2 linked regions of the Drosophila melanogaster genome follow. The protein of the gene in region 1 purifies or fractionates together with the protein of each later gene. This does not show direct contact. Each region holds a gene or a part of one and is shown in the gene's direction. Other genes may lie near its edges. The genes, in order: daed and Gasz.

The links.
Region 2: the proteins of daed (region 1) and Gasz purify together in Drosophila melanogaster (affinity purification with western blotting; one study listed by BioGRID). This does not show direct contact.

The regions. Positions count from the first base shown.
Region 1 is NT_033779.5:2,214,204-2,217,945, reverse strand, and holds daed (daedalus), read left to right. Parts: upstream 1-1,634; 5' UTR 1,635-1,720; coding exon 1,721-2,431; intron 2,432-2,486; coding exon 2,487-2,615; 3' UTR 2,616-2,798; coding exon of another isoform or gene 2,799-2,932; 3' UTR 2,933-2,974; downstream 2,975-3,742. Other genes in the region: mio (missing oocyte), read right to left, coding at 1-116, 175-348, 402-519; CG42371 (uncharacterized protein), read left to right, coding at 804-933, 987-1,120; CG15386 (uncharacterized protein), read left to right, coding at 1,138-1,371; CG34174 (uncharacterized protein), read right to left, coding at 2,799-2,932, 3,062-3,508, 3,562-3,634.
Region 2 is NT_033778.4:8,165,900-8,170,589, forward strand, and holds Gasz (gasz), read left to right. Parts: upstream 1-2,048; 5' UTR 2,049-2,143; coding exon 2,144-2,227; intron 2,228-2,290; coding exon 2,291-3,174; intron 3,175-3,229; coding exon 3,230-3,292; intron 3,293-3,345; coding exon 3,346-3,541; intron 3,542-3,604; coding exon 3,605-3,763; 3' UTR 3,764-4,190; downstream 4,191-4,690. Other genes in the region: Rs1, read left to right, coding at 1-32, 217-949, 1,010-1,553, 1,615-1,768; Mlh1, read left to right, coding at 4,394-4,690.

The DNA.
Region 1 (3,742 bases):
AATGTCCCAGATGGTGATGCAGGTGTCATTTCGATGGCGATCGTGTCCAATGGCCAGGATATTGGCATCCAGCTCGTTCCAGGCGAGGCAGGTGCACATGCGCTGCTGACGCGGTGCTACGAGAAATGAAGAACTATTAGATGCAGCTAAGAATCGGCGTTGTCGTCCACCCACTGTACTCCCAGCTGCTGTCGTAGGTGTCCCGGAAGTTGCAAATCCCGACTTTGCCATCCGCCAGACCCACTGCAATTATGGGCTGGTCACTGTGGTAGGAGGCGGCCACGCAGCGGGCATATTGATAGCGCGACTCGTTGGCGAGGTAGTTCACGGATATATAAGGCAGGCGACCTGCAAGGGGGGCGGTTAAGTAAAGTGGCATAATCCCTTGGGGAAAACCCTACTTTTTTGGCTGTGATCATCTTTGCGGCGCACTTCGTATAAATGGATTTCCTGGCCCCAGGATACGAATTTGTCGGGAAAATGTGGAAACCAGCTGAGTCCGTGTGTATTGCCGCTCATCGTGGCCGATTTTCCATCGATGTAAAAAAAAACAATTTTCACTACAGACTAAATTGCGTCGCGTTATCAGTTTGCAAAAACAAAAACGTGAGATAAACACTGCACTACATGGCAAGAAGAAGAGGCGCACACACACTAGCCGGTCGACCAGCTGTTGGCCGCATGTTAGCCAGCACTGGCCCAGTTCGATAATTCGTTTTATCGATAAGCTGGTAGGTGATTTTGTTTTCCTTTTTTTTTTGTAAGAAAGCAAACGTGTTTAATATTTACAACTCCCACTTAAAATGCTGCGCAAAACACCAAAACCTGCAATTTGGAAATTCATCAAAGGAAGTGCCAAAACACTGTTTGTCCTCGAGGCAGTCTGCTTCGCAGCCAGCTACGGCGTTTATTATCGCATGAACACGAATCGAGGTGGGAGGATATTTATATAATTATTTTGATCGTTAATAACAATCCGCTCCTAGAGTTTCGTCAGCATATTCACGAGAACTATCCCTTCGTTTTGGACTATTACTACAAAATTGGTGAAATCGTCGGAGACAGCACAGTGCGACAGGCGGATGCGAGTTATTGGAGTGCTTTGAAGAAAAGCGACTAGAGGAGACCGCTTCCAAAATGCTTAGTAATCCCTACTTTAAGTCCGTTTTGTGGCTGATTGGCTTCGGAGGAATGGGGTACGGCCTAATGGTGTTAACCGAGCCGAACGTCGACAAGTTAGAGCGCATCAAAGCCTCCGTTTCAAGTACCAAACTGAGTGCGGATGAGCAGCGAAAGGCTCTGTTTATGAAGAAGCTCCAGGAGGCGTCCACCACCAGTGCCCCAATCTACAGGTCATCGTCCGAGAAATAGGATAGTTAGGAAGCTTAATCGTCATCAATTTATCAATTTGTTATACTTTTTAAATACAAATGTTAAGCATTTAATCTTAATTGGTTGGGTAGGGTGATTCATTAGAAGAAAATTCGATTCGTACAAGAATGCGAAATAGGAAAAAGGAAATAAAATTACTAAATTGTTAATATTCACGTTTTAAATGTTTACAGAGCCCTTACTACTTCTGTTACTTTTAACATAATCTGTTAGGAATCTTGACCACCCCTACTCGCAGTGCTCGTAAACGTCCGATTCTTAACAGCGAATCTAATCTAAGCGCAATTGCATTTTAATGGTAATTTAATTGCCATTATTGACAGAGTTTATGGCAACGAAGACGCACACAATGTCCGCGGGGGATGTCCCCTTGGTGGCGATGGCCAAGGTTCCGCCGACCATTCAGTTTGAGGCCACAAAGAACTTTCACTCGCACACCGAGCAGAAGGAATTGGACAGTGCTTTCCTGGGCTACAATCGACGTCCTTGGGTTCGCCAAAAGGCTCACAGGGACACACGCCGGGAGAGGGAGATCCTCAACGGTCTACTGTGCTCTACCAGCGTGGAAACGGACTACGCCAGCACCTGTGTGGACAAACTTATTGCCGAGAACATTAACTATCTGGATTTGGCCTCTCTCACCGACGAAGATTTGGAACTCTTCGGGTTCAAGTGTCGAAAGCAACGGCAACAGCTCCTGGAGATGTTCGAAAAGATTCCCAACCAGAATCCCAGTTACGAATACATTTGCAACCATCCTGAAGCCGAAAACTACAACAATCAGATTCTGGGCAATGCTGGCAACCACTTTATGTCCCTGCGCGCTTCTTTAGCGGCCACCAACTACAAGCTGCAGGTCTCCACTCCCGAGGACGTCGTGGTGGGCGACAAACGATATGCCAGCTGCTTTGCCCAGGAAACTCTAAAAAGCGTGAATCAGATCACCGAAGAGATTGCCAAGGATCTCGCGAAAATCGAAGCTAATGCCCAGAACGCAAGGAGCCAGAAGAAAGTGCAGGGCAACGAGAGTCACAAGAAGGTGAATATAGCAAGCAATAAGAAATTATTTTCCTTTATACAAATTTGCATTGCAGAAGAAGTGGAGCCTGGCTACTATTTTGTATTACACCACCTTGGCTGTGGGATTTTCGTGCGCCTGGTTCTGGTGGTGGACCAAGTTCCGCAGCGCTCCCCGACTGGAGCGGATCTCCGTTCAGACTTAAAAAAAACGCACAACGATGCATTTAATAGTTACATTCCGATTTTCTCATAGGACCTAAGTTTATAGAATTTACTTATTACTTCTTTAAGCATTCGCTTAATCTAAAGCTGTAATGAAGTTTTACTGCCCAACATGAACATTTGATAGAAACCATATGTTGTATTAAGTTGAAAAATTGTTTAATTTATTGCCTTAAACTGACTTCTTCGGCAAGGAGAAGAAACCCCAGATGGACATAGGAGTCCACGTGCTCGGGAAATTCCCATAAAGTTGTGTGCGCAATGAGCTGGCTTCTTTCAGTCGAGTGAGCAATGTTACCTATAAGAAAAGTAACATGATTATATTTAAGATGGTAAATCGAATTTGAGAAATTAATCTGTGCTTCTTTGAATTTTCAAACGTATTAAAGGGGCTGCTTTCGACAAAGAGGAGCTTTATTATTCCTACCGGCAACTTCCATTTTGACCAGAGCCTCCTTCTCATATCTTTCGGATAGCTCCTTCGCGAAAACCACGAATTGCTGCAACTTCCAGGACCTGTAGAATATCGTATCCGCTGCAGATCCCGGTAATTTTAATATGCCTCTCAGTTGTCTTAGTATCTCCTTTGTATTATTTGCGATATCCCCGAAAATAGAGGCTATGATGGCCAACTTGTTGCAGGGAAGTAGGAGATCATCTGGGTAAAGGGAGCTGCCTTCATCCTGGCTTTTCTCCAGACACTTGGTCTTCTTGGCTTCGATAGTATAGCAAATAGAGGTGCCCCGCTGATGGGCCAGCTGCCATTTAGCGTAGTTATCCTGGAGTTGTTTGACTATTGTTTCCAATCTGGTTTTGCAGGTGGCTAAATTCGCATCGTGACTCGTGGGCGATTGCAGGCGCTGGCTGTCCAAATCTGGAAACGATGCAAAGAAATAATAACCTTTTTTGTCTTTGGAGCCAACTTACATCGAACTGGTGTGAAGGAACCATTTATATTCGGTTCACTTGCTTTTTGCGGCGTTTTATTCGCTTTGGTCATTTTGTAAACAATATTGTTTACTTCAGCTAGTGTATGCACACCTCCTCTTTGGGAAATACGTTCAACGCGTTTATCAACACTAATGGTTTCTAATATCGATAAGTGAAT
Region 2 (4,690 bases), on another chromosome or scaffold:
ATACGCCCAGTTTTACATTGGATTCCATTGAGGTAAGAAATCGAGGTGAATTTAAGTTGATGATTCTCCATCCTTGCGCTCTGAGCTCTTTGCGGAGCTAAGAGGATAACCTGGTTCTTGCTTCTGCGCGGCAGATGCAAGCTGATTCCACAGGCATTGTGTTTCCTACGTTTACTTTACCTGAATAACTTAAATATCTTTTGATATCCCGAACAGGTTCTCATTCTGGACGAGGCCGATCGTATGCTGGACGAGTACTTCGCCGAACAGATGAAGGAGATCATCAACTCCTGCTGTAAGACACGTCAGACCATGTTGTTCTCCGCCACAATGAGCGAGCAGGTCAAAGATCTGGCCGCCGTATCGCTGGACAAGCCCATCAAGGTGTTCGTCAACAACAACCAGCAAGTGGCCTTCAATCTGCGTCAGGAATTTATTCGCATACGTGAGGATAAGGAGGGCGACCGTGAACCCATTCTGGCTAGTTTGATTTGCAGGACGTTCCATGATCATTGCATGGTATTTGTGCAAACCAAAAAGCAGGCCCATCGACTGCACATTTTATTGGGTCTCTTGGGCGTCCGGGCCGGCGAACTGCATGGCAATCTCACCCAGCAACAGCGTCTGGAGTCCCTCAAGAAGTTCAAGGAGGAGCAGATTGATGTGCTTATCGCCACAGATGTAGCTGCTCGTGGTCTCGATATTGTGGGCGTAAAAACGGTAATCAACTTTGTGATGCCCATCACCACAGAGCACTACATCCATCGAGTGGGTCGTACGGCTCGAGCTGGGCGTGCTGGTATATCCGTTTCCCTGGCCGGTGAAAAGGAGCGCAAGATCGTTAAGGACATTATCAAGAATGCGGAGAGTACCATTAAGAATCGTATTATTCCGCCAGAGATTATTGAAAAATATCGCAACAAACTTACAAGCTTGGAGCCAGAGATTCGTAAGTTTATATAAATGTAACATTTTCTTAATTTGCGGATGTAAATGTATTGTTTTGTAGAAAACATTCTGGACGAAGAGCAGGCTGAACGGCAGCTAGCCAAAACGGAGCAACAGCTCTCCAAAACGGAGCGAAAGCTGCTGGGACAGACCAACGAGCGACGTGGTTGGTTCCAGACGAAACAGCAACGCGAGGCGGAGAAGGATCGCTTAGCGTTGACAACCGGCGACGAGGATAAAGCATCTGGTGGAAAGGGTAAGGGAAAAACGGCCGGAAAGCGTAAGCGACCCGAGTACGGAGGCGATGGCGAGGATGGACCACCGGTCAAGGATCTCGAGGCAAAGCGCAACAAGAAGAAGAAGGAGGAGCCTCGAAAGAAGACACCGGAGCAGCTGGCCAAAGAGCGAGCCATGAAGGAGATCGAGAAGGTGTCCCTTGTGCGCGCCAAGATGGCCAAGCTGCGCAAACGTCCGGGCAAACTAGGAGCCGCCACCGAAGTTCACAGAAGCGGTGCCTCCGACGGCAAACCCAAGCGACGCGGCGGTCAGTCGGCATTTACTAACGACTTGACCGATGTAAGTCGTGGCGGAGCTCTGCGTCTAAGGTGAGTAGCTCTTTCTCGCTTTTCGTTGATAGTTGTTCTAATTTTGTACACCCTTTTCCAGGTCCGAGGCCAATCGGCACAAAAAGATGACCAAGATCGCTGCTAAGAAAAAGGCGAGCAGTGTGAAGCTGACAAACAAGGCGGGAAAGAATAAGTTCAACAAGGGCAAGAACTTCGGAGGACCTCGTCACGCCAAGAAGGATAAAAAGAAGTAGAGCTGCAAACTACGCTATGTTAAATCGTATACTTGTAAAATAAAACTTTTTCTTCTTTAAGGCATTTAATTTTTTTAATTTGCTTTAAACATATGACACCTCAAAACAAAATTGCGAATCTGCATAATCAGAGTGTTAAACTTTCTAATATAACTGCAAATTTACTATTGCTTAAATTAGTTTCGGTTATCTTAATTTAGCTTAGTTTAAAAAGCGCGCCATGATATCGATAAAAATCGATTGTGCAAACTTTTTCAGAACCTCGCCTCCCCTCACTAGTTTTGTTTGCCATTTTCCTCCTTTCGCCTTTTTCCTGAATTTGGCCACAATTGTTGTGTGCTTAAACTGCTAAATTAGGTTTATATAAGTACCTGTATGATGAGCAACCTTTGCAAATACGGACCGCCCCCAGATTCCGACTCTGATAGCAGCTACGATGGATTCTACTTCTCGGATAAGGTATGTGTTCCTTGTTCTGTTCCTTCTGGTGTTCCTTGGGTGACTTGAGTAATTTCTGTATAGGTGAAACGCTCGAAACCAGCTCCTTACGTGGATCCCGAGCAAAAGCTCTACGATGCAGTCGTCGCTGGGGATCTCAAGACGATGCAGGAGGAGATGCGCAAACTCGTCCTCCAAGTGGATCAGCCAGTAAAAGGTGGTCTTAACTTACTGATGCTCGCCTGTCGCGAGGGCCACTACAAAATAGTTGAATGGCTGCTGGAAAGGGCAGGGGCCAACGTGAATCGGCAGCTGGATTCCTTGATGCCGCTGATGATGGCCTGCAATACCACCCACAAGGATCCGTGCCTGGCGGAGAGAATTGTGGGCCTGCTCTTGCGGCACGGAGCCGTGATCAATGTTTCGGAAAAATATGGAATGACACCCTTTATGTTCGCCTGCCAAAATGGCTTTGCCGGCGTTGTGCGTCTGCTTATTAAGGATGCTAGTTTCGATGCTGTGGATAATCAGGGCTGCACTGCCATCTTTCATGCCATCGAGAAAAATCACGTGGAAGTGGTCAAGCTGTTGGTGGAGGCGGGCGCGAATGCCACGATAGCCAACAACAAAGGCTACACGCCCACCCAGGTGGCGGAGTGCCATGGATACTACGACCTGCTGGAGATCCTGCCGCGACCAGCCTCCACTTACCTAGTGCCGACGCACTTCCTGGGCTACAACACGCTAAGGGATCACATTCCACGCATCTTCCTTAAGAGCGATTGCCCGGAATATTTTCAAGAACTTAACGGCATACTGGAGGCCATCAATATTGGCAACATGGTTCAATACTTTGCCATTGCGAGGATCTCGCTGGCAGATTTCCTCGTCATGGATGAGCAGTCACTTCGCGAGATCGGCATCGAGTATCCCATCTTCCGTCACAAGATACTGACGGGCATTCTTGAGTGAGTAGAATTAAAACTCTTATGGAACTTGTAATAAAATGTCCCTTTATTACAGCTTTCATCTTCATCATTGGAGCAACTCGTCGATAGCTCGGGTCAAAAAGGATGAGATGAACAAGTGAGTGGTGGTTTATTCTGTTACTATTTCAACTAACCCAAAAATTCTTCCAGCTTCTATGAGATCCTACTGATCACCGCAAGTCATCTGCAACACTTGGTCATTATTCAGGCCTCCCTGCGCTTCATCCTCAAAAACCAGGAGCACAATAAAATGGGGCAACCTTCGGAGATGCAGGTGGCTGCGATGAAAAGCAACCTTCAGGGCTATCGAGATGTACTCAACCAAATCACAAAGACAGTCAAATATGTAAGTGTCGCATTTCAATTGTTCTTGTATCAGGACACTCACTTCTTTTAAATATATTTTTAGCTTGGTTCCTTTAGCCCCTCTCAGAATCCCTTGTTCATTGACTTCAACGAAATACTCGCAGAGCGAAAACGCAAAAAGGTGCGCAGCTACTTCAAGTACACCACCATTATACTTGGAATCTCAGTTTTCATTTGCCTCAAGTGCAAGTGGTTCTCATAGTATCCGCTCAAGAACATTCCTCATATTATTTCCAACGTTTACGAAGAACGTGGTTTTCCTTACCGCTCTGAACTGGCGGAATTTTTTTGCAAATCCAAATAGTTTTAGGTTAAAGAAAAGTTTAACTCATATTTCGAATCGAAGTTTATCAATTGTTATTTCTAACTGTTAGGAAACGCGTAATCTCTCAATACATTTAACAACCGTTTTCTCGTTAAGACTATATATGTTAGAACGCAATAGAAATATATCAAACGTTACCTCAAAGCTGATGAATATACCTGAAACTAAAAGAAACGAAATATTCAAATGTATGAACTAAAGGTTATGACGGAAAACACCATATATATATATATTAATACAACATCGAATGTAAAAATTGAAAAGAGTTATTTTTGTTAACCCATTAATAAAGGAGTTGTTAACTAACCGGTCCGTTTTTCGTTTAGTTTTAAATTAAGTTATGTTTCTGCAATTTTTGTTCATTCGTCGTTTTATAAACGAAGTGATATCACAATTCAAATTTACCGCCTTACCGCATAGACCGTTTTATCTCTTGTATACTCCCGCGCAAACAAACGGGCACACTACTTTTTGTTTACATTAAACTTCGCGTGAAGATTTCCCGCCATGGCGGAATATTTGCAGCCTGGAGTCATCCGGAAGCTGGACGAGGTGGTGGTGAACCGCATAGCCGCCGGCGAGATTATTCAGCGACCCGCCAACGCCCTAAAAGAGCTGCTCGAGAACAGTTTGGACGCCCAATCGACCCACATCCAGGTGCAGGTGAAGGCCGGTGGGCTGAAGCTGCTTCAAATCCAGGACAATGGCACGGGGATACGACGCGAGGATCTGGCCATCGTCTGCGAGCGGTTCACCACCTCCAAGCTGACCCGCTTCGAGGATTTGTCCCAGATAGCAACATTT